Linked DNA regions of Canis lupus familiaris. The protein of the gene in region 4 binds, or shares a complex with, the protein of the main gene of each other region. Links are inferred from orthologs where the notes say so. Each region holds a gene or a part of one and is shown on either strand. Other genes may lie near its edges.

Region 1 (5,307 bases), on a different chromosome or scaffold from region 4:
AAAAAATAAAGATTTTATTTATTTATTCATGAAAGACACACAGAGAGAAGCAGAGGCACAGACAGAGGGAGAAGCAGGCTCCCTGTAGGGAGCCTGATGCAGGACACGATTCCTGGACAGGGAGGGATCATGCCCTGAGCCAAAGGCAGATGCTCAACTGCTGAGCCACCCAGGCGTCCCATTCACCAACTTTTTTTTTAATGGGGAGATTTCAACTAGATATATTAATTTCTGGCTTTTCTTGAAAATTATTAGATTTTGCATTTCGTGATAGTTATTAGTAGGACAGAGATGAGGGATAACTGCCATTTCTGAACAGATGTTCCCAAAGATCCTTGCTTTCTTCCTGTCTGGCCCCTATAATTATGATCAATATAGATACCAACAATAGCAGCACACACTTGAGGCTTTGTCCTATGCCAGGCACTCCTGGAATCACTTATGGATCATCTAATTCCCACAACACTCCTTTGAGGCACATCCTCTGTTCTTAACCCTGTTTTTACAGATGAGGTAAATAAAGCCCAGAGAAGTTAAGTAACTGCCCAAGATCAAGGTTAGAATTCAACCCCGGGTATTCTGATGTCAAAACCGTCACATGTAACCACTCATCTATGGTAGGATTCCACACCTGAGACTGGGACTCCTGCCCCATGTGCCGTACGTCCTTTCCTAAGCTGAACAACCAAAGAACACTCCCTCCCTTGATCATGTAACCATTATAATTTAAACCATTAGGGTAACTCATCTCTTCTGCTCATTAAAAGAACAGATTTACAGCTCACATTAAGAACTAGATAGAAGACAAGGAGGAATCAGAAAACTATGACTATGCTTTCTAAGAAAATTTCTCACATAGAATTAACTAAGGGAGGAAAAGAGACCTCAAGCCTTCTCATTCCAAAAGCTGATCCTAGCATAAAATACAAATAAGCATTAACATCTAGAACAGCAGGTTTTCCAAGTGAGGCGGATGGGGGTGGGAAACCTGGGGGGTCCTCAGAGTCTTGCAGGGATTCTTCGAGTCAAAACTATTTTCATAATAATATTCAGACATTACCTGCCTTTTTCATTCTCAGTGAGACTTTCCAGAAGCTACAGGGAATATTTCAAAAGGCTGAATGCAGTAGCAGAAATAAGATTCTAGGTGACTCCAAAAGGTAAGACAATGCCACTATTCTCACGAAATTTCTTTCTGAAATATCATCTTTCAAAAAATATTTAAAATAGTCAATTTTGTTAACATAATAAGCTTATCACTTATTTTTAAATGAATAAGTAGGGATCCCTGGGTGGCGCAGCGGTTTGGCGCCTGCCTTTGGCCCAGGGCCTGATCCTGGAGACCTGGGATCGAATCCCACGTTGGGCTCCCGGTGCATGGAGCCTGCTTCTCCATCTGCCTATGTCTCTGCCTCTCTCTCTCTCTCTCTGTGTGACTATCATAAATAAATAAATGAATAAGTATTTTAAAAACGTATTAAACCTCTAATAGTGCAAATATCAGCAGTATAGAGTTCACGTGCACAAATTCTCTGGGATCTTCAATGATTTTTAAATATAAGGGGGGGAGCCCTAAGATCAAAAAGCTAGAGAACTGTGGCTGTAAAGAGGAAAAGTCCTGCATCCACATGTGCCCAAGTGGGTGAGTATCTGTGTATGCAAGTCTTACACAGAAAGAAACCCTAAACCAAATATTCCAAACTGGTGGCCAGCTGGCATGTTTTGTAAGGGCTCCACACTGCCTTTAAATACCTATTAAATTCATTGTCACCATTTACAGATCAAAAGGTTTGACATAAATATAGTGTCTCTTCTCAAAAACAATTTTTTTTTAAAGTTCTGGCAACACTGTCCTGGCATTTCCACTGACTGGTATCACTTAGATGGGGCACGTGACCTTTGGTTCATCACACTGCAGGCATTTACCAATATGCACTATACATAACCTTTTCCTTATCTGACCTCACAAAGCAGAAACTTATAATGGTTTCATCATCGGTACAGAGACTTGGGCCAATTAGAAATCCTTCTGAGAAAGGAAGGAATCCTGACAAAGAAGGGATCTGTGGACAGGGGCAAAGGGGAAAACTCACCAGGAGAAGAACAAATGAGTGAATCTCCAGGGAACAGGAGGGCCCAATTTAGGACCCACAGGGAGGGGGTTCAGGTGACCGTCAGACCACTGGATATTTCCTCCTGGAACTCCGGGTAGCAAATTCAGGACACTCATCCAACTTCTTGTGTCCTGAAAGCAGCTGGTGGAAAGGAAGGGGCATTCAGAACTTGGGTCCCCAAAGAAGCAAGCACACAGGTGTGAAACTGTGGGGATGACAGGCAATTTTTGGAAGAAGGAAGGAAGCAATACTAAATTGGGGAGATCTAGATAGGGAAAGGGTTTTGCAGTTAAGGGAGTTATTTTTGTCTTTTCCTTACTTTCCTTCCTAGGGAAGGGACCTGAGGGGTTTGCTGGGAAAAGCCTAATTGGGGTAAAACTGGTGATGGACAAAAAAGGGATTTTTGCTGAAGAGGTCGAGAAGAGCGTTGGAAAAACAAGTATTACATGAGAAACTGGAAGAACAGAGCTCCTCTGCTATCAGTGGAAAGATAGGACAAAAAGGGGGGCTCTTGGTGGGCAGAAAATTTTTGCTGGAAAGAGATCCTGAATGGAGGAAAAATCCAGAAAAGAAAAAAATATATATATATATTTATATTCTTTTTTGCTAGAGAAAGTTTCTAAAAGGAGGTTGAAGGGTATAATCAAAGAAGAGAAGAGATTTTTGGTTTTGCTGGAAGATCCTAAAAGAAAAATTCGGGTCCCCTATTCAGGAGGAAAGGTGATTTTTAGCAGAAGGCCTGGAAGCTAGAGCGAATGCAAGGCCGCGGTGCAGAAAGCGCCGAGGTCGGTAGGGCCCGAGGCGCGAGCCGGGGGGGGGCTGCGAGGGGGCAGTTGGGGCCTGCGGGGCGGGGGAGGTAAGGAAGGGGATGCAGTGGGCCAGGGGCCCCCCCAGGAGAGCCTTCTCCAAGGGCGAAGGGCCTGCGGGGTGCAGCGGGGCCCGGAGCTGTTGGGGTGCAGAAGGTGCGTGCGTGACGCGGGGTGAGGGGCGCCCGCCGCGCCTGCTGCGCTCCTCGAAAGGGAGATGGGCCCCCTAAAAAACAAATATATAAACGAATTAGATTTTAAGGGGGGGGAGGGGTTGAAAAGTGAGGAGGGGCGGGAAGGGGGGGGTAGGGAGGAAAGGGAGGGGGCAGGGGCAGCAGCAACCGGGTTTTACCCGCCCCCGGGGGCTCGCGCGCCGGCCTCGAGCCTCGCGCCGGGCGGGCCTCCCAGCGGCCCCCTGCCCCCCTCGCGCCGCCCGCCTCCGGGCGCGCACGCGCACCTCAGCCCGCCCCCGGAGCGGCCCGCTCACCCGCGGCGGGGGCGCGCGTGCGTGGCTGCGGGTCCCCCCACGACACCCAGGGCGGCCTCGCGCGCCCCTCGCGCCGCCCGGGCTCCCGGCGCGTGCCGCCCGGCGGCGAGGTCTCCGCAGCTATTGGGCCTCGGACGGGAGGGGGCGGGGCCACGCGAGGGGCGGGGCTTGGTGCGGTCAGGTGACCGACGGCAGGCGGGAAAGGAGGCGGTTGGTCGCCATTTTGCGAGGGGGGCAGTTGAGGCTGGGAGAGAGTCAAAGTGGAGCCCGGGAAGGGCCTGCGGCGGGGGCGGGGACGGGGGTGGCGAGGGGCCGGCCTTCCGGGCTCCCCGACACCCGCACGCGGAGGCCCGGAGTCGGTCGGCTCCGGCCATTGTTCCTGGAGGGCGGCGTTAGAACGCAGCGGCGGGGGACTCGGGCTCCCAGCGGCCGCTCCGAGCTGCGGTGGCCCGCGGTGGGGGCTGCAAGGGCGGGGTCCCGCCCGGCCGGGTCTCGGGGTCCCTCGAGGCAGCCGCGGCGCGAGCGGGAGCCGCGAAGACCTGCTCTTCGGTGGGCTGGGAAGATGCGGCTACGCGGCCCCGTCGTGCCGGGGGTGGGGGTGGGGGTGGGGGTCCAGCTCCCCGCTGGGTCCTGCTGGGCGGAGGGATGGGACCGGGGTGAGCCGTGGCCTGAGGGTGCTACCCCAGAGCCCCCAAGACGGGCAACTCATCCCCTAGGAAGTGAACCCCGACCATCTGAGGAGTTCGAGAGCAGCTTTGCAGGCGCCTGGGTGGGAATGGGGACCCCCCCCCCCGTACCGGAGCATAAGGGCATCTGATTGGGGTGATGGAAAGATTCTAGAAGTGAGCGGCGGTGGTTGCACGCCGTGCTGAATTCACTAGAAAAGGTTGGATTTTATGGAAATAATATCTCAGTAAAGTTTTGTTGATTTGATTTTTTTTTTTTTTTGATCCCTGGGTTAGACGGACGGAACAGAGAGGATAAGAAAAAGACCAGCATTCTACTTTTGGATTCCTTCATTGAGCAAATATTTATTGAGCTTCTGATCTGAGATAGAGCAGACGGAGCAATGTCTGAGTCAGACGCACATTCCCGCTCGAGCTTGTGTTCTCAGCAGCGCTGTCCAAATGATACAGGATGCAATGACATGAAATTAGCTTTAATAGTACAACCTAAACCAAAATGTTGGGGCACCTGGGTGGCTCAGTTGGTTAAGCACCTGCCTTGGGCTCAGGTCGTGATCTCAGGGCCCTGGGATCCAGCCTGGCATGGGTCACACTGCTCAGTAGGGAGCCTGCTTCTCCTTCTTCTGCCTACCACTGCTTACTTATGCTCTCTCTCTGTGTGTCAAAAAATAAAATTGTAAAAAAAAAACACAAAATGTTATTTCAGCATGTAATCAATACAAAATTTTTAATAAGTTCCTTTTTTTTTTTTTTGGAAAGTCTGGACATCTTAATCCAGAGCAGTCACATTTTGAGTAGAGCCACAGGTAGCTTAGTGACTCTGGGACTGAAGAGCATACCTCCAGTAGGAGACAGGAAAATACATTTAGAATGCAATGTGGTTATACTTTAAAGAAGAAAAGAGAACGGAGATTATCAGAGGATGCTATTTGATAACAGGTCAGTGACGGTCTCTCTGGTGAAGTTACACTGAGCAGAGACCTGAAGGAAAAGATTTTAAAAATAGCTGGTGGAAGAGCAAGTGCAAAGGCCCTGAGACAGGAAGACGTGGATCCATTTGAATAATAACAGAGACCAATGTGGCTGCATCTATGTGGACAAAGAAAAGGGTATACTAGGCATGGATTGTGTAACGCCTTGTAAGTTCTGCAAAGACAGGAATTAAACACCTTTCAATTTAGGAGAGTTTTTTTTTTTTTTTTTTTTTTACTTAT
Region 2 (4,524 bases), on a different chromosome or scaffold from region 4:
CCTCATGTGCCAAATGAAGAAGCCAACCCATGATAGCGTATCGCCTGCCAACCTGCGTGTGTAAATGTTATCTTTCCTTCGGGATGAACGACCTATGTTCTTTGCACACAGGGAGTTCAGAACTCCCAGAAGCCTATGGGTTCTTTCAATTTCCTTCAATGAAATGAGGAGACTGCCCTGTAGACTTGCAATCACTTGCTCTCCCCGGGCCCCAGACACAGCTCACCCTGCCCTCTGCCAGGTCAGGCCTCCATCCCATGCCACTCTCACCTTTGCGTTCTGCAGTGAGGCCAGCTCCACTGCCTTCTGGGCCAGGGTCAGCAAATTGGCTTCCTGGGATGCCCGGCGCCTCCGTCGAGTGCTCTGGATCACCCCACCCCGTAGCACCTGCCCACAGTCCCCAGTGCCCACTGCCCGCATGCTCTCCTCGTTGCCCATTGTGGGAGCCTCCCGCTCCCGACCGTTGGGTGCCAGTCTCTCCCCTTCAGACAGCACCTGCGACTCCCTCAGCTCCAGTGGGAATCCCAGAGCTTCAGGATGCGGCTGCCCCAAGGGGCCGGGTGGTGGCTGCTGTGGGGGCCAGGGGTGTAGGAACAGGTTGCTGGTGGGCTCCTGTCCAGGTTGGGTGCCAGCCACATCCAGGGGGGCGGAAGGCAGGACGCCCTCCTTAGAGAGGCGGCGAGAGCGTCGGGGGAAGGCGATCTGGGACTGAGGTAGCACAGGCTGTGGGGCTGAGTCCTGCAGGAGGGCCTTGCGAAGTTCCGGGTTCATGTCAGGGTTGGGGGGGAAGGGGTAGGGCGCCATGCTGTGGTGAGCCAGGTGGGACTGCCCCAGAGGCCCGGCCGGCTGCAAGCCAAAGTCCTGGGGCTGCTGAGAGGGTGGCTGCTGCATGGGATAGAAGTTCTCAAAGAGCTGCATCTGGGGAAGGGCGGCCTGTTGCTGCTGCTGCTGCTGCTTCTGTGGGGGGAAGGCCGCCACGGGGTTGGGGGGCGGTGGGCCCTGCCGGAAGACCTGCCGGTTCACCTGGTGGCCAAACGCCAGCTGGAAGGGCTGCAGGGGCAGTGTCTGGTTGGCGGGCTTCTTGGCCACATGGAAAGAGTTCAGAGGCGTCTGGGGCCTCCCTACATCCAGCTGCATTTTCTGTGGCATCATTGGCCGCACGGCATTTCCGTAGCGGTCCAGCTGCGGCCCACCTCCTTTCTCCCGCTTCAGTGCCTCTGGGTGGTTGTAGTAGGTAGAGACCCCCATGCCAGGATGCGGGCTCCCCTTGGGTCCACTGTAGAGGGGCAGGCTGTGGCGGTTCCATGTTGTGTGGGGTGGGGGCTGGCCTGGCTGCTGCTGCCAGCCACTGTCACTGACACCCCCACCGCCTCCACGCTCGGGGCCCCGGCCTGGAGCCATCACAGAGTTGGGCCACTTGACGGAGCCCACCTGCTGGGACAACATGGCTGCCGTGGTCCGCTCGGAACTGTACACCACGGAGTTTAGCAGGGCCAGGCTGTTGGGAGGGGGCAGCTCCACGGGCTGGGACACGGGGGCGGCCCCTACGGGACCCTCGGGCCCAAAGTAAGGCTCCTCCTTCACTCTGGTGGACTGTGGAGGAGCTGCGGGCTGCTGTGGGGCCTGCAGGGGTGCGGGCTGCTCCTTGGGAGCTGGTTCCTGATCCCCAAAGAGGCAACGCTTCCGCTTGTTCTGAGCCTTGGGCTGGGCCTGGAGGTTCATGGTGTGGCCAACTGGGCCCTGGCGGTGAGCCCTACTTCACCAGTTGCCCATCCCCTGTGGGAAGGTCCTGCTGGAAGCCCAGCTCTTGTCCAGGAGCCAGTGGGGGCAGAGCAGGGATGAGGTCAGACACAGGGAGAAAGAACCGTTGGCTCTTCCTTGCTCTTCGTGGAGAGGCTCTTGGGCTTGTCTACTTTTCCCAGTTCATGATGTTCCACGGGACCCTGGAGCCTGCAGACAGAAGAATGATAGTGTCAGTCACAGCCTCTCAGGATGCCCCAGATGTCAGCACACATGTGAGGGAGGGGCCCAAGTTCACAGAGCAGCCCTGGTGAGGCAGGAGCCAGGGCCCCGGGGGAATTACCAGAAGGCGGCGCTTTGTGACTCTCTTCATCCCACCACCTCACCCTGCAGCATTTGGGTGTGTGATCTGTACACTACACAAAGGCACCTGCCAGGGAACAGGAGAGGCTGAGACCCAGGTGGAGAAGCCCCTGCAGCCAAGGTGGGAAAAGGTGCAACAAAGTCTTCCTCTTAGGCCAGGCCTGGCTACCCATTGGCTGAGCACAACTGTCCAACGCAGTAGCCTCCTCACCAGACCCAGAAGTTTTATCCAGACGGTGCCTCCTCTGATGCTCCAAGCATATCTCAGACGCAGGAAGTGGAAACAACAGGGGTCATTCCTAACTATGCGGTTGTTCCAGGCAGGGGAGCCCACCACGTCCTTGCAGAGTGCAGCACCCAGGGCTAGGCTCCCGTCCTTTGCACTGAGGCATGTAGGTGAGGCTGCAGAAGGGTGTGTGTTCTAGCAACACCCCTGGGAGGAGCTGCTGGGTGGGACTGTGGCTGCCGTAGTCTTCCCTAAACCAGCACAGAACCTGTTTTGCAGCCCTGGCTGGCTGGGGGCAGGATCCAGCCTGGTACCTGGTCAGCAATCCCCACCTCTCCTCCCCTCCCAAAGAGCTCCCAGTATCCAGAGCTAAGGACTAGCGCCACTGCAACATGGAGGAGATGCAGATTGCTAGAATTTAGGCCTGTAATGTTTTTCTGTGACATGGTATGACTTTAACTGTTCACAGTGTCTGTGTTTATTTTCTAACTTGATTTTAAAAAAACTTCAATACACAGGTTGCTCTATTTATCCTGCTACAGGACAGCCAAAATCAAGACCAGCATTTTATAATTTACATGTATTTTTATTACCTAAATGTGTAACTCACATGTATTTTCAAAGACTTTGTCTTTCTTCAGAAAGGGCTTTTTTTTCCTTCCTCCCTGGTTAGTTGGTGAGGGTGGGAGCTACGCGACCTCCCTCTTCCCCACACTGCTAAAATTCTGGTCCTGAGCCAGTCAGGCCAGGAGGGGTGAGGAGGGGAAGCTCAGGAAGCCCGGGGGAATAAATCTGCAGGTCCAGACCAACCTCAGAGCTCAGGCCCTAGAAGCTCCAGGTCCTACTTTGCAGTCCCGGAGTTCCCAGGAAACCAGCCCAGCCAAGGAGGGCTGGGCCAGGGCGGCAAGGGCAGGCTCTCCGTGCGAGGCCCCCTATCACCCGTTCACAGGCTTCCGCAGCTCCCCGGCCCTTCCCCTCTCAGCGCAGCAGTGACTCACTGCAGCCACCCTCCCTTCCCCACCACCTGCCTTTCACTTTCACCAGCACCCAGAAGGGGAGGGACTTCCTCCTGCATTTCCTTCCTCAGCTCCCAGCCCTGAAGCCAGCCAGCCAGAGCTTCCCGTGAGCACCCCCTTCGTCTTCACTTATGGAAGTCGGTGGAGGGAGAGAAAGAGGCTGGGTGGGCATCCAAGTCACTCTGGCCCTGGCGGCACGGGGACAATTTGAGCAGGCAGGGAGTGCAGAGGGCCGCGGAAACTACCTTTAGAACCAACCCCTTCAAGGCAGCTCGGGTGGCTCAGCGGTTTAGCACCGCCTTCAGCCCAGGGCGTGATCCTGGAGACCCGGGATCGAGTCCCACGTCAGGCTCCCAGGATGGCGCCTGCTTGTGTCTCTGACTCTGTCTCTCTCAAGAATAAATAAATAAAAATCTTAAAAAAAAAAAAAAAAAAGAACCAACACCTTTAAACTCTCAGTCCCTGACAGCCAACTCGATTCAGAGCAGAGACCCCAAAGCCAGCCCCCCGGCCCCCTCAAGGAAAATAGCCCTGGGCGCCACAGTGAAGCGGCAGCCTGGGGGCCGTCTTGGCTACAGGAGTTGGCTCTGCCTCTCCAAATGAGCGTGAGAGAGCAAACTAGAGGTCTGCGTGTGCAGAAGCAAGACAGAGGAAGGAAGGATGTGCCCGTGGGGCAGGGGAGGGCGCCGCGCCGAGGAGGGGCTGCAGGGCCACGTGCCTCCAGGGGGCCTGAGAGCCCTTCGGGTGCTCACGTGCACTTGTGCTGCCCCTGCCCTGACTGGCACAGGTGGCCCCCCTTCCCCAGCCACGGGCCCGCTGCCTTTGAGCCAGGGCACCAGCTCAGGGACACCGGGACTGGAGGAAGGGGAGGCCCACGTGGCAGATGAGCCTGGGTGCACATGTGAGAGCGTGTACCTGGTGGGGGGTACACAGGCACCAGGCGAGGGGGGTGGGGGAGGTGGCCACCCGGAGCCTGGGGAAGGGTGAGTTCTGTAGGTTGGGTTGAGTGAGATGGAGGTGGAGTCTGTGAATGGAGCGCCAGGGCAGGGCTGCTGCTGCCCACACACCCCCATCCCCAGGGCCCCACGCTGGCTCACCAGCAGCTGTTTGGTTAGGCTAGTCTGCTTCCCATCCTCCATCCTGTATGTCAAGGATCATCACTCAGGATACCACAGTAGG
Region 3 (5,258 bases), on a different chromosome or scaffold from region 4:
TCCAGATGTGAAGGCATAGATGCCTCTAATAAAACAAGCTAACATCACCAAAGACAAATTCTGAAATCGTTAAATCAACAAGTTATAGGAATACTATTTATGGGCTAATCTGTAGACCTAATCCATCAAAAACTCAAAAAATTTATAATAAAGACAACAAAGCTTATCAATTTCTTTTATTATGCCTCAATAAGGTATTCAAAAAATGCTTCCTGAGTGGAATTTTAAAACCAACAGATTTCTAGAATGAGAATTTAAAAATTATTACCCGCTATTTCTGAAAGCCAGTATTAAAAGATATTTAGAAAGCTACATACAATCCACTGAGTGGTTGTTACATAAAGCAATTTAAGAGACAGACAAACATTTCTAGGAAACTAGATTCTTCCACAATAGATTTTTTATTAACTGATCTTTCTAACTGAGCTGTATTGTTATACGTACTACATTAACAATTTCATTAGCCTTTAATAACTTTTTTATATAAACAGGCTCATTTAAAACTTCATAAATACCTCAACAAGTTGTGCTTTATTAAGTCCTGGTCTGGTTGATAGTTTGAAGTGTCTTTTGTATCTCCGAAGTGTATTTACTTGTAATTGGTATAAATCAACCTAGAAAAAATAAACATGTAAGAATTAGTTCATGCAATTTTTAAATTGTTATCTTTGATATGCATAATAGCATTTCAATTTTGGTACAACAAAAATGTAATTAAGTAACAAAAATTACATTATTTAATTAATTCCATTCCATTACTTCTTTTACATAATCAAAACTACAAATATATAGAGCACTTCAATCTTTTGAAGGTAAATACTGAGAACTGGGAGCAAAAAAAGAAGGCAATAGAGGTATAAGCATTGTGAATTGAAAACATAAGTCAAACTACAACTGCCTATTAATTGGCTATATTTAATTTTGCTTTCATTTTCAGATTTTTCGCATTAAGTATTTTTAAAATTTGTTCCTATCTTTTAATAGAAGTTTCAGAATGGAATACTTAGGATTTACATTTAACATACAGAAACTTTACCTCTGGCGTATCGATATCTTGAACAGGTGAATCTCCTCCATCATCATCACTCCCTTTTCTCTTTCTTCTGTTTCGAACACTCTGAATTAAGTTTTTATGATAATCACAAATGTAAAGATGCCTTGCCTAAAACAAAAAAGTTTCACAGACTACTTATTATTATGTAACGTGTCTACGTATTAGTAAAATACATAGGGCACAGTGAATTATTAAAAATAAAAAGTCAAAATAGGCCATTGTTAAGACAACAGCATATTTCTATGCTTAAGTCCTGTATTCAGTTAGAACATACCGTGTCTGACAATAGGGTTAAGAGGATTGGAGAGTGGGGTGGGGAGGAGTGAAAGGAAGGAAGGAAGGGAAGCAGACAAGCAGAATGAGAAATTGCAATTGTCTGGATTTTTTAATTAAACTGTAGTGAGGGTGAATTAGATTTGTTAGGTCACGCTGTTTTTTTAATAAGTGGAAAGATGATGTTGCCCACAATTCTGCTACTGACAGTATTTTCTCTAAAGAGCACATTTTAGTAGCTTCATATCCTTTCTCAGTACTCAAATTATAATCCAGATACAAAACTATCCATTTTTACAAACGAGCTACCGATTTCATATACTACTTATATTTACATCTGAATTACAAGCTTCTGAGTATTTAATGAATGTATTTGTCTGTATTACGTTTTTTTCAACCAAAGGCAATGTGAAACTATTCAAGTTTACTTGAGAAGTGTCTCCCAAGCATGACTGAAGAACTCTTTAACAGGCATAATAGATCACAAACTTTGCAAAAGCTTCAATTAAATGTAGTCTTGAGCGCTGTATGGTAACATCTGAAATACTGGGCTGCATTATTAACAGTTTAAACTCCTTTAAAAAACAACAACAACAAGCGATTAAAGACTAAGGCTTTGAAATTTAACTTGTAAACGAAGTCCAAGTTAAAATTATGCAGGGCGTATGCTAGGTTCTGGCATCTTGTTATCCATTCACCGCCAGCCAAAACTCCGCAAAGTGCCAATGGTTGTTTCTGAAAACCTCACAGATGGTCAAAGAAACACAAGAAACGGACGTGTACAACAAGGACGGTAAAGGAAATCCGGATGCTGCCGAAGGGGTGGCAGCGCCGCAGAGGCAGCGGGCTCCCCACATTCCCGGCAGCTGCGCTGGATGCTGGCGGCGTCCACCAGCCCGGCGGTCTGCACCGCGCGGGGTGAGCTCGGCTCTCTTCCCTCCGCAACCCGGCGGACGAGCAGAGGAGTCGGTCTCCACCGCGGCACCAGGGCCTCGCTTGCAGGACTACACTTTTGCCTACAGCCGGGGGTTGCTCCCCGGGGCCACGCGCCAGCTTGGGCAGCAAAACAAAGGAGGAGCGGACAGGCTGCAAGAAAACTACTCCGGGCCCTCCGAGCCGCGGTGCTCTTTGTTTCGTGTCCCGACCTCAGGGAAGGAGGAAGGGGTTGGACGGCGAGCAGGGCGGACACCCGGAACGGGGTGGGGGTGCGCGGGGGTTGGGTAGGAAGGGTGGGGGTGGGCACGCGAGGGAGAGGAGGCGGGGGGGGGGCGGGGGGAGCAGCGGACCCGCGGCCGGCTGGCGTGGGTCTGCGGGGGAGGCGGTCCGAGTTGCGGCGACTTTGTGGTTCGCGTCCTACCCGAGACCACGCGACGGGCTCGCGCCACAGCCAGGTCTAGGGGACCCCCGAACCGTCCGCCCCTGAACCCCGGTCGGCACCGCTCCGGGAGCCCCAGAGCAGGGCAGGGCATGGCCGTCCCGCCGTCACTCACGCTCTTCTCCAGCTCGATTTTCACCTTCTTCTGGGAGATGCTCTTCTGGATCCTCTTGCTGAAGCTGGCGTTGCCCGCCGCCCGGCCGCACCGCTCTCCGTCCTCCCGCAGGCAGCACAGCTGTCCGGGGCCCGGCCCGGCCGCCCCCGGGGGCCCAGCAGCCGACACCGCCCCGGCACCCGGCACCTCAGCCCCGGCGCCGGCCCCTGCCCCGTTCCCGGCCGAGGCGGCCGCGGCGGCGGCGGCGACCACGGCGGCCACTGCGGCGGCCGCGTCCCCGCCGCGGCTCATCTCCTCAGGCGTGAAGCCATTCATGTCTCCGCGTGCCGACAGAAACCCCCGCTCGGCTCGCCGCTCCCCCTCTCTGCGGAGACTCCGGGGTCTCCGCGGGGTCCCTCAGACACCTGACCCCGCCGGGGCGATTCCTCCAGCGGCACCGCCACACACCAGGCGTCCCGGTCTGCTGTTGTCCGCTGGCGCCGGGATGGGGGACAGCGTTTGGGGTCAGAAGCCAGAACCGGGCGGCGCCAGGAGTTAGGACTCCGGTCACTGTCACATGGAGACGCTTCAGCAGTTGGACCCTGGCGCCTCCGCCTCCCTCCGGCCCCCCGACCTGCGCACGCGCGACGAGCCCTCTCCTGCCCCGCCCCTTCCACTGTGTGGCAGGGCACCATGGGAATTGTAGTTCTTTGAGGGGGAATCACTCTGAGTTCCACCCCGAACTGGGCGCCTTGGAACTACTTATGCTAGCATGCATCGCGCGGCGACGGGCAGGGCTTCGGCTGCTAATTTATTTATTTATTTATTTTAAGTCAGTGGGAAAACAGGGGCGTGTGGTTAGGGGTGGTGATGTTTTCTCGCTTCTAGTCTCTCCCAGGAAGTTGCTCCGTCTTTCGCTACCGGGATTCTGCAGTGTTGGCGTTCTACTAGACAAAGCGGCCACCCCGCTCCTGAGGCGAGGCGCAAAATGTTCTGGGCGGGAAGCTAGGAGGGAAGGTGCGGCGTGAAAAAGTTTCGGGGCCGTTTTCTTACTGTGGAAAAAGAATTTTTGGTGTGGCCATGCTTTTGTGGGACACCCAAACCAAGGAGAACTCGGGGAAGCTGGCGCTCTTCGGGTCCGGGAGATGCCGCAGGTCCCGGGTCACAGTTCCATTCATTGACACACCAGCTGAGGCAAAAACGCCCTTCCGACCTCGACCGTGACAGGGCCGCTTCCCAAGTGCCTCAGCTGAAGGCCGTTTTTAAATCCTTGCACGTTCCTGCGAAGATCGGGTTTCATTTTGGGGCGATCAAAGTTGGCCGCTTCCTGCGGTGGAGCGGCTTCTTTCCGCCTCCACCCCCACCCAACCTTCACCGTTTCTCTTCTAAAGGCCCTAGAGAAAAGTGGGATCCAGGACCCTGTCCAGGGGGACGTGGAGCCCCGATATAGTTAGCGTGAGTGCTCCTCGGAAACTTCCCGGCGTTCTCTCTGCGGAGTGAAAGGCCAGAAAGAACCCGCATTTCCTGGGGTATCCGCCCGCGCCTGTGCGTGTAGAGTGCGTGCGTGCGTGTGTGTGTGTGTGTATCCGCCCGCGCCTGTGCGTGTAGAGTGCGTGAGTGCGCGTGCGTGCCCGTGGGCGCGTGCTTGTAGGGGGCGGGGCCGGGGAATGGAGCGGCTGATAGGAGCGCGTGCGCCTTTGCCGGTTGCTGCGCGTCACTGTGACTGTATCGGATGTGTCCTGTTTAGCCGTCCTTTGGCTTAAATAAAAATACGAACCAGGTTCTTTTGCAAGTTCTTTCAGGCTTGCTGAGTGAATTTAGTGATAGATGATTTTTTAAAAAAACCTAAATGTCATCTGCCCTGAAATTCAAAGCCATCCATTCCGTCTGTGCTTTTCAGTTCTAGGCTATGGCAAAGGGAAAAACAAAAAACAAAAACAAAAACAAAACGTTAAGATATTATTACGTAAATTGAATGAGCAAAAGGAAGATGCTGCATGGTAAGTATGTTGTGTTACCCTTTTTATTTTTTAAGATTTTATTTCTTCGTGAGAAACAGAGAGAGAGAGAGGCAAAGACACAGGCAGAGGGAGAAGCAGGTTCCCTGCAGGGAGCCCCATGCGGGACTCCATCCTAGGACGCTGAGATCGTGACCTGAGCCCAAGGTAGATGCTTAACCACTGAGCCACCCAGGTGCGTCTTGTGTTTTGTTTTTTAAGCTGCACTCTCCAGTAGGGTGTCTGATAGCCCAATGTGCCTATTGAAAGCTTGAAATGTGGTTATTTCTACTGAAAAACTGTTAATTTAACTTTAAATTTAAAAAACAGATTTCAGTTATTGTAAAGACTTCAAGTGTGTTTGGAACAGCTTAGATACATGAATACATTTTTTTTTCTATCTAAATTTTGTGAAATCTAAACTTAGAACCCAAGTTGAGATGTGCTGCAAGTAAGAACTGCTGA
Region 4 (5,137 bases):
AACTTCACGTGTCCAAAACTGAGCTCCTGATTCCCCCTGCCTGTTCCTGTTTTCCTCATATCAAGTCAGTGGCAACGTTGTTGTTATAGCTGCCCTGGACAGATAACTTGCATGATTACCTTAGTTGTTCTTTTACCCTGCACATCTGAATCATCAGCAATACCTTTGTCTTATTTATTTTTTATTTAAAGATTTTTATCTATTTGACAGAGAGAAAGAAGAGAGTGAGCACAAGTGAAGGGAGAGGCAGGAAGAAGCAGACTCCCCACTGAGCAGGGAGCCTGATGAAGGGCTTAAGCCGAGAACCCTAAGACCACGACCTGAGCCAAAGGCAGACACTTAACTGACTGAACCTCCCACACCCCTTTAAAATACATATGGAATGGGATTCTTTCCCAATACCCTTACTGCTAACACTCAAGCCACTATCCTCTCAAGCCTCCTAACTGATTCTCCTGCAGGTGATTCACATCAGTCAGACTGACCCTTTAAAAATGTTTAGATCAGGGCAGCCCTGGTGGCTCAGTGGTTTAGCGCCACCTTTGGCGGGGCATAATCCTGGGGACCCGGGATCAGGTCCCACGTTGGGCTCCCTGCATGGAGCCTGCTTCTCCCTCTGCCTGTGTCTCTGCCTCTCTCTCTCTGTGTCTCTCATGAATAAATAAAATCTATAAAAAATATTAAAAAAATGTTTAGATAAAAAAAAAAAAAGTTTAGATCCAGTGCTCTGCCCAAAAGTCTAAAAGGGCCTCTATTTTACTCAGAGTAAACCCCAATATCCTTACCATGGCCTCAAAGGTTCTGCATGAACTGGGCCCCTATTTTCTTTGATTACCTCTCCTTATTCTCCTCCTGGCTCAGTCTGCTCTAGCCACACTGGAGACTTTTTTTTTTTTTAAAGATTTTATGTATTCATTCATTAGAGAGAGAGAGAGAGAGGCAGAGACACAGGCAGAGGGAGAAGCAGGCTCCACACAGGGAGCCTGACATGGGACTTGATCCCAGGTCTCCAGGATCCCACCCTGGGCTGAAGGTGGCACTAAACCGCTGAGCCACTGGGGCTGCCCGAGACTTTGTTGCTTTGAGTGTCCAAGCACACTCCTGCCTCAGGGTGTCTGCTCTTGTTCCCTCTGCCTGGGGTGTTTTCCCCTGATGTGTCCACACAGCTTGTTTTTCTCTCCCTTTATTCAGGTGTCTGCTCACATGTGGCTTTCCTGGACACAATCTATGAAACAGCACTACTGTTCCCCACTGGTTACTCTCTCCCCCTTCTCTCTGGCATTTCCTAGCATAGTACTTATTTGTTTAAAGAGGGCAGAGACACTGTTCATTTTGTTTGCTGCTGCATCCTCAGTGCCTGCTATAATGGTGGGTGCTCAGTACATGCTTCTTGAATGAATAAACAAACATAAGAGGAAGAGGTTTAGGAAGAAAGAGTTCAGCTCTGGACATGCTGTTTCAAGCATCTAGGGGACAATCAGGTAGAGTCATGTGGAAGTTTATTTATAGGCCTAGAAAGGAATTTTAAATAATAATAATGTTGATCCTGTTAAACAAATAAGAAAGACACTTGTTTGTAACATGGTGCAGAGCACATTAAACTTAAATTATTTTATCCTCATAATAGCTTGGCGAAAGAGGTATTCAAATTACCTCTAAAGAGGGCGAAAAAAGTTCTCAGGGATTCAGAATTGGAAAACCTGACTCATCTGTTTGTACCAAAAAGAGCGAGGGGGATTGTAATGTAGGAAAGGTCTGCCCTTGCATCTCTGTACCTCTCACCTTCATATACTTGTTGAAGACCGTCTGGATCTCCTCGTTGATGCTAGGCTGCAGGACAGCTCGAAGGAGGTCCATGGAAATGGCAGGATCTGTGAAACTGCATTCAGGAGGGAGACACAGTCAGGGGTCATGTCCCAAACATATCTTTCCTAGTCTGCCCAGCCAATTATTGACACAGGCTCCTTTAATAACAGTAATAGCTTCTATTGAAAACAAGCTATGTGCCCAGGTTCTGTGCAAATGAAACATATGTATGGCTTTATTCCATTTTCATAAGAACCCTACAAAATAAGTATTATTTTTTAAAGTGTTTTATGAAATACAAAGTCTATACACTTTTTTTTTTTTTTCATTTTAACAAATAGTTTTAGTGAACATCCACTTAATCACTACTCAGGTCAAGAAATTTAATCAGGATCCCATGGGTCCATTGTGCTCTCTCCCTTCACTGAGATAAATACTACTATTAGCCTCACTTCTTTCTTTAAAAAAATAAAAAAAAAGATTTTATTTATTCATGAGACACACATAGAAAGAGGCAGACACAGGCAGAAGGAGAAGCAGGCTCCATGCAGGGAGCCCGATGCAGGACTCCATCCCTGGACTGAGAGCATGCCCTGAGCTGAAGACAGACGCTCAACCACTGTGCCACCCAGGTGCCCCAGCCCCACTTTTTTCTAAACCTCTATGCTATTTTGCCTCTTTAGAGCCCTCAACCACAGAGCGAGTGAGTGTTAGGATCTTAGGCACTGCTGAATTCATGATTCCTCCTATTTTGTACAAGAGTTCAGAGGTGGCAATGATTCAACCAAGGTCACATCCAGAGTGACAAAAGCCGAGTCTCCTTTTTCCTAGTCCATTGCTCCTTCTAACAGCTGCTGATCTCTCTTCAGCTCTGTGTAGTGGGGACCCCAAGGGTGCCATCCAAGCCAATCAATGCCGGGGAGGTCAATACTCAGGCCCAGCCTTACCTTGTTGTCATCTGTGAGCGGCGGCCCCTTCGCTGCACCTGCCTGTGCTTTATCATTATGTTCCAAGGGTTCTGTGGGGACCAAGGGAACAGATGTCACCGAGGCTTGTGACACTAGGGTACAGGTGGACGGTGAGTATGAAGTTAAACGTGGACACCTCTGCTTCTCAGGTACTGTCAGCATCTCTCCCACCCTCGGGTAGGCGGGAGGGCAGCGGTTGAAAGGTCCTGCCGGGGTGGAGGAACTGAAGTTTCCTGCCTGGAAAAGTCCCAACCCCACCCTTTCTGGGATGGGAGAGGGAAGGGAACCAGTGTTTACCGAGGGACCACTCTGGGGCTGCTAGCGTGCTGGGCGCTCTGCTCGCCTTTACACCCCATCCCCGTAACAACTTTACGAGGCAGGCACCAATCCTCTCCATTTTACAGAAGAGGAAACTGGAGCTCAGAGGTGACAGGACCGGCTCACATCGCCTAGCCTGGAGGGCGGCACCAGAATTTGAATCCGGGTGGTCGGACTGCGAAAACGCCACCGCCCTGGGCAGCACCAGCCGCCGCGTTCTCTCGCCCGCGGGCCAGGGTCCCGGGAGCCCGAGGCCCAGCCGGCCCGAGCCCAGCCCCAGCCCCGGCCCCGGCCTTCCCGGGGGCGCCCTCACCGTGAGTACCAGCTGCCCCGCTGCGCCCGCGTCGCCCAGCTCGGAGCCGCCCCGCTCTGCCCCGCCGGGTCCCCGCGGCTGCTCGGCGTCGCCAGTGGCCCCCATGGCTCCTCCGGCGCCCCCCAACCTCAGCCCGACTCTGCCACCGGCCGGAAAGTGGCCCTGTGACGTCATTGGAGGGCGCCGCGAGCCGGCCCGGAAGCGCGACGCGGCGAGCCGCGGGGTTTCCATGGGAACCGCAAGGCCGCGTCCCGCTGGGGCCCGGAAGCAGGCAGGCGCTGTGAGCCGCGCGGCGGGGGCTTCTTCTGCGGCCCGGCCGGCTCCTCGGGTGCGGACTGTGGGTATTTGGCCCGGGAGCGCTCCCCGCTGGGCCAAGGCGGGTGGAGAAGTGCGGGGCAGGAAGGACGAGAGCGGGCTCTCGGGGCTGGAGCTTAGGTGCGGAGGGGAGCACAGCGGGGCCCACAGTTCAGTCTTTGAAAGCCGTAGAGTGCGCCTAATGCGGGGACCCGAAAATTCAAGAGGGGGTCTGGCCCATGCCCTTCCAAACACCCACCGGGTCCCTCGAGGCCTAGGCTCCAGGGGATGCCTCTTGCATCTAAAGGCATCATAATGAAGGTTGGGTCTTGGCCCGTGGACTCTCCCAAGCCCCAGCGACCTGGGCTTCTCTCTCCAGGAAGGTGATCCTGGGATGGGCGGGGATGCAGAGGTTTAACAGCTATGGAGTTTCGCAAAGCTCCCCTTAGCTCTGGCTTAGAGGTAGGATGTCCGTAAATAGAACTGGATCGATTTACGGGTAGTAGAGAAAGTTCCTTTTCCAAGGTCACAATGTGGAATAGTAAAACGTACATGAGTTTTTATTTGTATTTTGTTTATTCATGAGAGACTGAGAGAGGCAGAGACATAGGCAGAGGGAGAAGCAGGCTCCCTGGAGGGAGCCCGATGAGGGACTCCATCCCTGGACTGGGATCAGGACCTGAGTCAGAGGCAGACGCTCAACCGCTGAGCCACCCAGGCGCCCCAGTACCTGAGTTTTTAATGTAGAAAGATATGAGTTCAAATCCAGCATGATATGGTGATTAAGAATATTGACTATGGAATTGGTCTGCCTGCCTTTGGTCTACCACCCTCTGTGTGATCCAGGTTTCTTTCTGTGCCTCAGTTTCCCTATCTGTAGAGTGGGGACAATGGTACCTAACTAATAGGGTTGCACTTAAGGATTAAGTGAGCTAATTCATGTGAAGAACTCTGGCACAGGTAAACCCCCAAGCAATGCTATCTGTCACTGCTATTATTAAATTCCAGTAACCACCATTTACTAGCTTTATGACGTTGGTCATTCTTTCTCAACCCCTCTGAACCAGTTTTCTTACCTCTGCAAGATTATTGTGAGGATTAAAATAGATAATACATATAAAGCACATGTTAGGTTATCAACAAATGTTAATTATCTCCATGGTCCAATATCAACCTTAAAACAATAAGGCAACTCTTTGGCACCAAACTCTGGCTCTATAGTGGATATTTTTGCTTTATTTTTATTTTATTATTATTTTTTAAAGATTTTATTTATTCATAGAGACAGAAAGAGAGGGGCAGAGACACAGGCAGAGGGAGAAGTAGGCTCCTTACAGGAAGCCTGACGTGGGACTCATCCGGGGTCTCCAGGATCACACCCCAGGCTGCAGGTGGCGCTATACCGCTGCGCCACCAGGGCTGCCCTATTTTTTATTTT

The links.
Region 1: DNTTIP1 (region 4) and ZNF541 share a complex: the UniProt entries of both Homo sapiens proteins name them as parts of the histone deacetylase complex. The link is inferred for Canis lupus familiaris from reciprocal best matches to the Homo sapiens genes DNTTIP1 and ZNF541.
Region 2: the proteins of DNTTIP1 (region 4) and MIDEAS are in contact, whole or in part, in a cryo-EM structure (PDB 6Z2J), measured with the Homo sapiens proteins. The link is inferred for Canis lupus familiaris from reciprocal best matches to the Homo sapiens genes DNTTIP1 and MIDEAS. Residues at the interface, in NP_443183.1 of Homo sapiens: Pro63, Ser66, Leu69, Leu70, Ala72, Val73, Leu74, Pro76, Ser77; in NP_001036783.1 of Homo sapiens: Gln768, Asp771, Leu772, Thr774, Ala775, Ser778, Ser779, Ile802, Leu803, Leu806.
Region 3: DNTTIP1 (region 4) and SAP30 share a complex: the UniProt entries of both Homo sapiens proteins name them as parts of the histone deacetylase complex. The link is inferred for Canis lupus familiaris from reciprocal best matches to the Homo sapiens genes DNTTIP1 and SAP30.

What each region holds. Positions count from the first base shown.
Region 1 is NC_049222.1:109,165,295-109,170,601, reverse strand, and holds the start of ZNF541 (zinc finger protein 541), read right to left. Parts: upstream 3,453-5,307; 5' UTR 3,408-3,452; intron 3,314-3,407; exon of another isoform or gene 3,273-3,313; intron 3,139-3,272; exon of another isoform or gene 2,256-3,138; 5' UTR 2,094-2,255; intron 1,161-2,093; exon of another isoform or gene 1,080-1,160; intron 1-1,079. UniProt on the Homo sapiens protein: Transcription regulator which is essential for male fertility and for the completion of meiotic prophase in spermatocytes.
Region 2 is NC_049229.1:47,302,048-47,306,571, forward strand, and holds part of MIDEAS (mitotic deacetylase-associated SANT domain protein), read right to left. Parts: exon of another isoform or gene 4,443-4,524; intron 1,951-4,442; 5' UTR 1,723-1,950; coding exon 271-1,722; intron 1-270.
Region 3 is NC_049246.1:24,119,715-24,124,972, reverse strand, and holds the start of SAP30 (histone deacetylase complex subunit SAP30), read right to left. Parts: upstream 3,447-5,258; 5' UTR 3,133-3,446; coding exon 2,818-3,132; intron 1,163-2,817; coding exon 1,037-1,162; intron 615-1,036; coding exon 516-614; intron 1-515. UniProt on the Homo sapiens protein: Involved in the functional recruitment of the Sin3-histone deacetylase complex (HDAC) to a specific subset of N-CoR corepressor complexes. Capable of transcription repression by N-CoR.
Region 4 is NC_049245.1:33,724,612-33,729,748, reverse strand, and holds the start of DNTTIP1 (deoxynucleotidyltransferase terminal-interacting protein 1), read right to left. Parts: upstream 3,549-5,137; 5' UTR 3,511-3,548; coding exon 3,406-3,510; intron 2,825-3,405; coding exon 2,754-2,824; intron 1,880-2,753; coding exon 1,783-1,879; intron 1-1,782. UniProt on the Homo sapiens protein: Increases DNTT terminal deoxynucleotidyltransferase activity (in vitro). Also acts as a transcriptional regulator, binding to the consensus sequence 5'-GNTGCATG-3' following an AT-tract.